Linked DNA regions of Mus musculus. The protein of the gene in region 2 purifies or fractionates together with the protein of the main gene of each other region. This does not show direct contact. Links are inferred from orthologs where the notes say so. Each region holds a gene or a part of one and is shown on either strand. Other genes may lie near its edges.

Evidence for each region. The genes of interacting proteins can lie anywhere in the genome.
Region 1: the proteins of Fam53c (region 2) and Plk1 purify together in Homo sapiens (affinity purification with mass spectrometry; 3 studies listed by BioGRID and IntAct, counting the BioPlex papers as one, with this or other methods). This does not show direct contact. The link is inferred for Mus musculus from reciprocal best matches to the Homo sapiens genes FAM53C and PLK1.

What each region holds. Positions count from the first base shown.
Region 1 is NC_000073.6:122,165,190-122,170,751, reverse strand, and holds the end of Plk1 (serine/threonine-protein kinase PLK1), read right to left. Parts: intron 3,156-5,562; coding exon 3,000-3,155; intron 2,187-2,999; coding exon 2,109-2,186; intron 1,924-2,108; coding exon 1,769-1,923; intron 1,672-1,768; coding exon 1,489-1,671; intron 1,366-1,488; coding exon 1,162-1,365; 3' UTR 868-1,161; downstream 1-867. Other genes in the region: Ern2 (serine/threonine-protein kinase/endoribonuclease IRE2), read left to right, coding at 128-251, 331-398, 456-686. UniProt on the Homo sapiens protein: Serine/threonine-protein kinase that performs several important functions throughout M phase of the cell cycle, including the regulation of centrosome maturation and spindle assembly, the removal of cohesins from chromosome arms, the inactivation of anaphase-promoting complex/cyclosome (APC/C) inhibitors, and the regulation of mitotic exit and cytokinesis.
Region 2 is NC_000084.6:34,757,935-34,763,570, forward strand, and holds the start of Fam53c (protein FAM53C), read left to right. Parts: upstream 1-1,392; 5' UTR 1,393-1,663; exon of another isoform or gene 1,664-3,043; intron 3,044-4,560; 5' UTR 4,561-4,712; coding exon 4,713-4,790; intron 4,791-5,138; coding exon 5,139-5,196; intron 5,197-5,636.

The DNA.
Region 1 (5,562 bases), on a different chromosome or scaffold from region 2:
TCCAGGAGGCCATAGCCCTTGTCATCCTAAGACATTTTGCTACTCCAACATTAGCCACAATATTAGCCTCCTGGCCCTGAGGTCTCTGATACTGGCCACAAGGCTCAGGTGCTCTGTGGGGTCCTAGGATGTCAGTGACTGGTTGGAGAAGGAACCAGATCAGGGGCCTCTCGTGTCGGCGCTGGAGGCAGGAAGCTACAAGGTGGTCCGGGAAGACTGGCACAAGCACATCTCAGCCCCTCTGCAGGCAGGTAGAGGCCTCACTTGGGTGGGTCTGAGGGGCAGAGAGCCAGGGGGAAACACCTCTGCAGCTCATTTCTCTGCCTGCAGATCTGAAAAGGTTCCGCTCATACAAAGGGACATCAGTTCGAGACCTGCTCCGGGCCATGAGGAACAAGGTATGTTCTAGAGCCCGGGTGGGACCTATCAGGGATGGTCTGCCACAGCTGAGCCAGGATCCTTGTCCTGCCCGTCCCCAGAAGCACCACTACAGGGAGCTCCCAGCTGAGGTGCGCCAGACACTAGGCCAACTTCCTGCTGGCTTCATTCAGTACTTCACACAGCGATTCCCCAGGCTGTTGCTGCACACTCACCGTGCCATGAGGACCTGCGCCTCTGAGAGCCTCTTCCTGCCCTACTACCCACCAGCTCTGGAAGCCAGGAGGCCAGATGCCACAAAGAGCTGAGACATCCAGAGGGTCCAAAGGAGGACCAAGGAGTTGAGCCTGTGGCTCAGTCTAGTCTCAGGCGTGACAGAAAAGATGGGCAGCGGTCTAAGGGACTCAGGCTGTTAATGCAAAAAAAAAAAAAAAAAACCAAAAACCTCTGGGGGCAGGGGACTCTTAAGAAATACAAGACCAAAAAGAGAAAGAGAGAGAGAGATGTACACATTTTAATATATATAAAGCTAAGGAAAGAGCAGTCCCAATTTAATAGAAACATTTATACAATTCATACAGTGGGCTGAGCGAGGGCAGGGAAGCAGATGTAAACCCACACCCAGACATGTACAAAATAACTTACACACAGCAACCCCTTCAAAGGGGGCCCTGCTCCTGCCCAGCCCCCAGGGCCAGGGGCACTGAACAGCAGCCCCCAGGAGCCTACAGTGCAGGCTCAGAGCTAGCAGAGTGAAGGGGCACCAGTCCGAAGGAGAGAGACCTAGGAGGCCTTGAGGCGGTTGCTGGCGGAGCGCGAGCTCAGCAGCTTGTCTACCATGGTGCGGGCGTAGCGGAGGCGGCTGGCCAGCTCCTTGCAGCAGCCATACTCCTCCAGGAGGCTCAGGCGGTACGTTTGGAAGTCCCTCTTCTCGTTGATGTAGGTCACCGCTGCCATCAGGGGGCACAGGATAAGTTTGGTGTGGTCCTAGGAGGGAGCGAGTGAAGAGCTCAACAGGTGCCCAGGGGGAGGGCAAAGGGGAGGAAGGCGCCCCGCTGGTGAGGGAGACAGCACTGCCACCCCCAGGCACAGCGTCCTGCCCCAGCACACCTGGAAGAAGTTAATCTGCACGGTGCCGTTGCTGAGGTGCAGGATGATGGCGCTGCGTGTGCGGAACCACGTTCGTAGGTAGGGCAGCCGGGCCAGCTCGTCGCCTTCCCGGGGTGTGATGTTGGCCCCTGCCTTCAGCAGGTGCTCACTCATGTAATTGCGGAAATAGTTGAGGAGAGTGATCTAGTTTGAAAAGTTGGGGGAGGGATTCCAGAATGAGGGCCTGGCCCCGAGGCAGCCCCCTACCCTGCCACGCTCCCCCTCGACAGCCAGGACTCACCTTCTTCATCAAGGAATTGGGATGGGAGCTCACAGTGAGATAGGACTCCGTGCCATCACGCTCTATGTACTGCAGGCTGTCCCCGTCATTGTAGAGAATCAGGCGTGTTGAGTCATTAAAAAGCACCCCCACACTGTTGTCACACAGCTGATACCCTGGTGGTAAGTGGAGGGTTATCTCAGAAAGGCAGGAGGAGACAGGCAAAGGCCTTGGAAGAACTCAGTAGAACTCAGTAGTACAATGCTTGCCTACCATGCAGAAGACCTGAATTTTAATTCTTCCCACGCCCCGCCCCCCAGCTACACCATCCCCTGCCCATTCCACATTCTGGGACACCTACCAAGGCCATACTTGTCCGAATAGTCCACCCACTTGCTGACCCAGAAGATGGGGATGCAGGCAGGATCCTCAGCCTCCTCTGGGGTAGAAACAGAACACTGGTTATGGTTAGGTCAGCCCCGTCGCCTTTCCTTTCAAGCAGCCCTCCCCATGGCACCCCATGAAACCTGAGGAGGAGCCTGACAGTACAAACCTGACACCCAAATGGAAAACTGTAGCCCAGGATGCCAAGGCCCACTTCATCACGAGTGAGCCCCTGTACTCTAGGCCTACTGTAGCCATGAGCTGTGGGAGGTGCGGACAGGGAAAGAGACCCACAGGCTTCAGAAGAGCCCGGGTTCCAACCACAGGGATGAAGAAGAAGCACAGGCTACAGGCCCCTCCATCATTCGCCCTGGGGGTGGTAGAAGGCCTAGTATCCCAGACTAAAGTGACGAGAGACAGTTGGCTGACAACCCCTGCCTGCGATGCTAGAACAGCTAGAAAACTGTACACAAGTCCCTGATGCAAAAACACAAATGTGCTGGGAAGAAATGCTATAGAGAATTAATTAAGTCAGGTTTAGAAGTGATGGCAGCGGGTGTCAGGGCAGGGACACTGGGTACAAAAGCCCTAAAGCTGGAGCTGATCTGAGTCTCTGGAGGAATTAATTCCCTGAGCAATATGTGCAGTGATGCAGAGATGGCCTACCAGCCACCTACAGGACAAGATGGTGCAGAAGTAGGCAGAAGAAACACCAAGGGGGGCCGTGGGTGTCAGGCTAACTCACCTGGATTTTGATCTATAAGAAACGGGCAAAGCAAAGGTCACGTGGGTCTGGGCCCTCACCAGTGCTCTGCTGACTGAGCAGCCCTGCCTTCCCCAGGCGCGCAGACCTCTCTGTAGCACTCACCTTGCCGCACCAGCCCGCGCTCCGAGGGCTTGGAGGCGTTGACACTGGTCAGCTGCTGTAGCAAGTCACTAAGGTGGCACTCAATGGCCTCATTTGTCTCCCGGACCACCGGTTCCTCTTTCTCCCGGGGACGGTCAGGCAGGGGGTTCTCCACACCTGAGAAGAAAACTCGGTCACTGGACAGACACAAAACTAGGGGAAGGAGCACAGGACTTTGGCGACAACTACAACTTTTTCACTATCAGCGATGTGGGGACACAGTCAGCACCAGTTTGAGTGGCAGGCATTGTTATACTGAGAGGTCTCTAACCCAACAGCCTAGCTTCCCAGGACAGCAGCTGCTGCTGTCACTCAGGGAGGCCATCGGAAGGCACCAATGACTCAAAACTGCACCAACTCAAGAGTGAAGGGCACTGTGAGCACCCAGGAAGTTGGAAAGACGGGTGGATTCCTTTAAATAAAGCCCCAGAAGCCTTTCACTGTAACCCTCTGCTTTTGTGCGCTTACAAACCGCCCAGGTCTGATGACATGCACACTAAAGCTTTGAGTTGGCTACGGTGGCCAGGGGGGAGCTTTACACTCGACTGGCTTGTTTCCCCAGACCAGCATGTGCTAGTTCTCCTGTGAGACAGCACAATTTTTTTTCTTAAAATTTCAATTAAAAAAAAATAAACCACCATGCTACATTAAGAACTTAAGTGTGAAATAAAATATTCAGGATCTGATTTTTGTTTGTTTGTTTTTTTGTTTTCCGAGACAGGATTTCTCTGTGTAGTCCTGGCTGTCCTGGAACTCACTTTGTAGACCAGGCTGGCCTCGAACTCAGAAATCTGCCTGCCTCTGCCTCCCAAGTGTTGGGATTAAAGGCGTGCGCCACCACCGCCTGGCTCAGGATCTGATTTTAAAACTAGCCAAAAAGGGGCTGGAGGACGGCTCAGCAGCTAAGAGCACTTGCTGGTCTTGCCAAAGACCTGGGTTTGGTTCCCAGAACCCACGTGGTGGCTCATAATCATGTCTAACTCCAGTTCCAGGGGATCCAAAAACATCTTCTGGCCTCTGTGGTTATCACACATGTACCTGGTGCACATACATACATACATGCATGACACCCATACACAGTTAAAAAATAAAACCTAGCAAAAATGAGTGTTTATAGACTAGAGTATGTAAAAAGCAAGCCTGTCTAAATTTAGCTATTGGAAATGAAGGAGAAATGAATGCCCCAGGGACAGATAATGCAGGTGGTTCCCTGCCTTTGGGTGAGTGTGGAGGCTGTCTACAGAACAGTTTCTTTACTATACTTATAAGACAGCGGCATTCTAACCTCCACCGCCGAGGAAGTTAGGAATCCCCAGGTCCAGCACTGCGGGGAAGGACAGGGAGCTACCCTCCGTACATACACGTCCAACATGACTTAGATTCCCCACTGCTCATGAACTAGGCATGGTAGCCCATCCCTGACTGTTAGCCTAGCACTCAGGATATAGAGGCAGAAGGAGCACAGGTTCAAAGTTGTCCTTGGCTACTGTGAGACCCAAGCAGTTCGGGCCACATGAGACATGGTCTCAAAAAGGGAAACAAAATTGAAATTACAGTAATAATTGCTACCACGAAGACTGGTGGTCCCTACAGTTTCAAACAACTTCCTGCAAGCTATTTATTAACTACCAAGGAAACAATGTCTGTGGGAGAGACACGGTCTCCCTGACACACTGAGAAGGGCAAAGCCCTCCACAGCATTCTTGCTCAGAATGCAGAACCTCACTGCACTCCCGAGGAAGCATCAAATCCAATAGGATATCAACTCATCAGCACCCTCTAAACGTGTCAAGGTCACAAGACATAAGGCAAACCCAGAGACTGCCACAGGCTGGAGGAAACTAAGGAGCCAAGGTCGCTAACTGCCATGTGAGGTGCTGACTTGCATTCTGGGGGTCTAATGGGGATCTATCTGGTTGATCGATTAGGGGGATTATCTTCTAGCTAACACTTCAGTTTTGGCAATTATGCTATGCTTTTAAGGGAGATGCTGACCGTGGAAGCAGCTGGGTGAAGGGTACACAGGAATTCAACTTTATTGTTTTAAAAAATTTTGTATAGCACTACAGTTATTCCAAAATAAACCAAGTCATTGAGTCAGGGGTGAAGTGAAGCACTCAGTCTGAAATCCCAGCACTTGGGAGGAACTCAGGGTTAACCTGGACAACACAAGACCCTGTCTCAAAGCACCAAAAACGAAACTAAGCCATCCCAAGCCACTTGCCTAAAAATGGAAATCTAACTGAAACAGATGAACTGAGAATTTTATACTGAATACTAGTTTTATACTAAATCCACACAGAGAACAAGCTATCCTCAAAGACACAGCTCTTAATGAAATATATTAAGGACAAATAAGACTTGATGATGGCCGGGTGTGCTGGCGCACGCCTTTAATCCCAGCACTTGGGAGGCAGAGGCAGGCGGATTTCTGAGTTTGAGGCCAGCCTGGTCTACAGAGTGAGTTCCAGGACAACCAGGGCTACACAGAGAAATCCTGTCTCGAAAAACCAAAAAAAAAAAA
Region 2 (5,636 bases):
AGGGCAGAGGCAGTCTTCTTGACTTTGCCTCCAAAGTACCAGAATTTTAAACGTGTACTACTGGCCCGGACTTCCCACCTCAACTTTGTTTTTTTTTTTTTTTTTTTTTTCTTTTTTCGAGACAGGGTTTCTCTGTGTAGCCCTGGCTGTCCTGGAACTCACTTTGTAGACCAGGCTGGCCTCGAACTCAGAAATCCGCCTGCCTCTGCCTCCCAAGTGCTGGAATTAAAGGCGTGCGCCACCACGCCCGGCTTCCACCTCAACTTTGTAATACATTTTTTAATTCTTCTTTTTCAGTTTGCATACTTGAAGCTTCCTGCTTCCTCCCCGGCCCAGCTCAAAGATGAAGTTCTCTATCACTAAGTCTACCTGTTTCCCTATCCCAGATGAGGGGGCTTCAAAACACTTAGAGTAAACCCTTGACTTTTAGGGATTTGCTGCTACAACTGTAATAATGAAATGACTGGAATTACCACTTTCTATCCGACTAAAGAAAGGAATCTGAAACTCTGCCCTACAGTGATCTGAGCATGAGAGCATTTATTGAAAAAAATTTTTCCCATCTGAGACCTCCAATTTACAGAAGAGCCAGAAGCCTCTATGGGCTTTCTTCCCTACTGACATCAACACCCAGCCTATTGAAAAAAAACTTAAAACTTTGGTTGAGGTGGGAGGTGGTGATAATGGTACAGACTTAATAAAAATGTGGTTTCCAGTTCCTGAAGAGGAAATACAGTACTGTTGAAATCGGTTCCTCATATGTCAGCTTCCTCCCTCCTTCTGTCTTAAGTGGTCCAGCCAGAACCATCCTGCTCCACCACCACCCCCCCATACACCCCGCAACTGAGCCACCTATGATGTCATAATCACAATCCCATTACCTCATCCTGCTGGGGGGGGGGCGGTAAGGAGGAAAGGGAAGGGAGGGAGTGAACAGCCTCGGGTCCGCCTCAGCTTTACAAAGTGTTTTGGGTGAGAACAAATTACAGAGCAAGGGGACACAGCTCCGCAACCGTTATAAATCTCAGGTTTATAAAAGCTCTAGCAGATCTGGCAGCTAGAAGAGGGGCTCCGGCTACTCAGAGCAGGCCTTGACCGGCGCTTGGACTACATTTCCCAGCAGCCTTCACGCCGAGGATCAGTCCTTGCCGGGGGAAGGTGGGGGGATGCTTGCAGAAAGGTGGCTGTGTCGGAAGGGAAAGGAGGCCAGGTGAGAAGACTGTGGCTAATATTGTTTCGTGGCCTGAGCTGAGTCAGATAGTTCAGTTGGGAGGATGGTTTAGTGGAAGGAGTGGACAATGGCTTTGTTTACCTTTATCCGACATGGCTTCCCCTACGGGCTTCGTGATATGCTTCCAACTGGGCCTGTCCACTTTCCACGTTATTTTGGAGGGGGTGATTAGTTAGTGAGGAGACACTCCGGTCCCCAAACCACAGCTCTAGGCTCCTTTCCGACGGCGCTATTCTGAAAAAGATTAAGGGAGACACCACGTAGGGCTTGGGCCTCTTCGGCAGGTTCCGGGGGATTCTGTGAATAGACGCGATCCCCCATACTCTCCTCAAAGACCGGTTGGTTCTTGCCAGCGCCTTTTAAGGGCACCGTGGGGCGAACGGAGCGCTCAGAGCTGCTCCGGCCGCGGCCCATGGAGCTGTAGGAGCCGCGGTAGGTAGCGGAGGGCAGGTGGTGCTGGGGCCTCGGGGCGGGCACCGCGACCGTCCCTCCCTCTCTCCCATCCCCCAGTCCAGCCGCTGGTGCGGCGGAGCCTCCTAGGCCGTCTCGGCGGGAGAACCCGGGACCCGGTGGGGGAGGGGGTGGCGGAGTGCATGTCCCAGACCCTCCCCATCCCCTGCGTCCTGAGTTCGCTTCCCGCGGTCAGATGGGGAACCAGAATGGAAAGAAGAGAGCGACAGTCTCTCTGAGCAAACCCTGGAGTGCCCCCCCGGGGGCCAGTAGATGCCTCATGCCCCACCCCGCGGGGACAGGCAGGGCAACAGAGGGAGAGGTTGAGGATTAGAGGGAGCCTAGTCGTTTGCTTTTTCGTCGCGGTGGGGGATGGGTGCACCCCACTTGTCACCCCTGTCTTCACGAGAGCCATATGGAAGAAGAGCATTCTAATATCCATTTACCTTTTTCTTGCATCTCCCTGCCTCGCTTATGTTTTCCTTCAGTTTCTCCCAGAGGTGTGGGACCGGGAGACCTGGGGGGAATGTCCCCAGGGGATTTGCGACTTTCTTTTCCCTTGGCCTGACTGGATCTTAGGTCGTCCAGGTTTCAACACAACCTAAGTATCCCAGAAACGCAAGTGTCAGGAGTTGCTTCCATCCAATAGGAGTGGGGGGGTCTAGTCGTCATCTTGGGGGGTTGTGGTGGAGGGAGATTCTGGGCAGAGAGTTAGGCCTGGTGGGGTTACTGGGAGGGCCGAGCGGCCTTCTTGCTCAGTGAAGGGCTGAGCCTTGTGCCAGTAACGTTCAGCTGAGAAGTTTTAACTTGTTTAGTGAAATGTTGAGAGCTGTCTACCCCTCAGATACACAAAATGGAAGGGAAGGAAGGCTGCCAGAGAGAGCTTCTCACACTTTGTAAATGTCTGCTTGAGAACGAGGAGGCCCCTTGCAGAGCTGGTTTACCTTCTTTTGTGTCCTGGTTTGATTCCTTATGGCTTCCGTTCTGTTGCCCCTCTCAGCCTGGCCTGTTTTAGGAAACTCAGGCTGAGAGTATCAGTTGCGTGGTGGTAGTTGCATTGTTCCAATTACCGCTGTGTGTGGCCACATCCCGACAATTAAAATGCAGAAAAAGAGAAATCACCCTCTTCAGCTGCTGCTAGAGAGGGCTGGGAGTTTGCTGTTTGCCTCACTGAAAAGCTTGCAAGTGTTTTTCACTCCCTGCTCCTCATGGCTGGTCAGCCTGGAGCCTGGGGTCTCTCTAGGGTAAGATTCTCCACTTAGGTTCCCTTCTTGTTCATCATTTTTGAGGACAGAGTTAGAATGGGAGCAGAAGTGATTCAAGCTTTAGCTTCTCCCACCAGAACCCAGGGGAAGCAGCTGAAGGGAGTTGGTTCTCAGGAAGCTGGAACTTTGTTCGGAACGGTAGGGATAATTACGCATGGAAACCATAGTTAGCTAGAGTGATGATTGACGGCTGCGCCGTCCTTCCAAAGAACTCCATCCACATCCACAGGACCTTTGCTCTTTGTCATGTGCCTCTGAAGTGACACCCTCGTTTTTGCAGTGGGTGGGCTTCTCCAAAACATCACAGGAGGAAGACCCCTTAGGCTTCAACTTAGTGAGCAAGTGACGGAGGTTGGCCTCCAGCCAGAGAAAGATGCATAGCTTTCTTCATCCTAATGATACCACCTCTTTAGGCACACCAAGGCTTGGAAGAACAGCAAAGGGAGAGAGAAGAAACAACAGTCTGTGTGAACTATTTTATATAGGCCAGTTGGTAAGCTATTTTGATATTTCATGTGGCCTCATTCCTGTGATAGAGTAAGATCGTTATACCCATTTTACATATGGGTAAGCAGGAATGTTATATGGCTAGCCAAACTTGCCTGAGTAAATTGGATTAAGGATTAGGTGATAGTGGCAGCTTTTTTTCCTCCCGGGCTGGCCTTCACGAACTGTTGAGCTTCTGTTTGCTTTCATCTCCCGAGGGCTGGGATTACAGGTGTCTGCCCAAGAGTTAGCTTTCTTGGCTGACTGTTCTCTGTGCCAGTTTAATGCTCCACATACTCTGGCCTTGCCTGTTGGTCACTGATGGGAAGAGGTAGAACAAAGGCATCACTAACCTCCCTTCCTTCTTCCTCAGAGCAAGGCCAAGGCCCCGTAGGTAGGCAGTTGTGTGGGGTTTAGAAGCTGCTCTCAGATAAAAGTCAGTTGGCTTCAGTCTTAAGGAAGAATCCATGGTCTTCAAGTGGGATCATGAAAATCAACACAACTTTGTTGGATGAAGTCATGAGTTGTTTTTAATATCCGTAGAGTTGAAATGTGATTGGAACTGACCATTCTTTCTCATTGGATAAGAGAATAACCAGCAGCATCTACTAGGAAAGAGTGATGTATCAGCTGTTCATTTAAAATCCTCTTTAATCTGACCTGAAACTGAAAGCCCAGCCCTTGCTCCTCTCTCTGTACTAAACCCCTGTGGTTTAGAAGGGTTTTTCTGTTTGTTTGTTTTTTGTTTTTGTTTTTGTTTTTTCTTGGCTTCTGGCTGTAAGATAAAGAGAATATTGTGTTCATCCAGTATGGAAATAACCATTTGGACAGCTCTCATTTGAGCTGTTTTCTAAGTGGTGCTGATATTCTAGGTAGACACAACAGAACTTAAGCCAGGTTAGAAACGGTAAGTGGGTTTCACTTTGCTTGCCAGCACCAGTTTATTTGACTGGGTATCTAGAGTGCCAAGTTCAGAGTGTTTCTGAGCCTGTCTTTAAGCTTACCAGGAAAGTGCTATGATCAATTAACGAAGTCTGCCCGAGGCCTGGCATAGGGACACTGCTGTGTGTGTGTACTGTGCCTTGTCCATCTCTAATGTTACTTGGGGCTGACCCCTCTAATTGGCAGGCACAGCAGGCATGACTGGAGAGGGAGGTCCCAATGGTGCTAGAACGGTGCTGCAGTGGCAGAAGGAGGCTCATGAGTGAGATCCAGGAGAACGACAAGGAAGACATCCACCAATCGCTCCAAAGTGTGCAAGCCAAGTCCTGGGCAGAAACATGATCACCCTGATCACGGAGCAGCTCCAGAAGCAGACCCTGGATGAGCTGAAATGCACGCGCTTCAGCGTCAGTCTGGTAAAGACCCGAATCTCTGCTTCTTCCTCATCTTCCCCTTTTTCTGGAGGCTGTTGCTACAATCTAACCTGTGTTCTGTGTCGTCTGAAACGTGCTTGTACCGGAAAAGCCCACTAACAGCTCAAAAGCCAGCCAAGAGAAAGGGGGCAGGGACGCTAAAACTTGGGTGAAAGGGGCTTTGTGACATTTGAGGTGTGGCTTGTTTCTCACCAACTTTGGGAAGACAATAGGAAGAGAACAACACAGGAGTCTAATATCCTGGTAGCTCATGAATTATAGGAAGAATGTAAGAGTTCTCTCTAGAAATGTCCTTGTCCTGAACCCAAATAATGATGGTCTCTCTCTTAGCCTTTGCCTGATCATGCAGACATACCCAACTGTGGGGACCCTTTCCAGCTTGTGTCTGGTAAGGAACCTGTGGTTTCTATGTACTATATGTTTGTTTGTGCTTCTGTCCACACATGTCTGTTGTTGGTTTTTAATGGCCAGACTGATTAGCTTAGCTCTAGCTTTTGTGATGGTCTTTTTGTTTTATTTTGTTTTGTTTTGTTTTGAGACAGGGTCTTACTATGTAGATTAGGCTGGCCTAGAGTTATAGAGATCTCCTGCCTCTTCCTCCAGAGTACTAGTATTAAAGGTGTCTGGCCTCCACTCCAGCTTGGGTTTTTTTGTTTGTTTGTTTTTGTTTTTCAAGACATTTTCTCAGTATAGCCTTGACTGTCTTAGAACGTGCTTGGTAGACCAGGCTGGCTCTGCCTCTCAAGTGCTCGGATTAAAAGTACGCACCACCACTGCCCGGACACCAGCTTGGCATTTTGTTGTTTTGTTTCCGTAAGTGCCAACTTC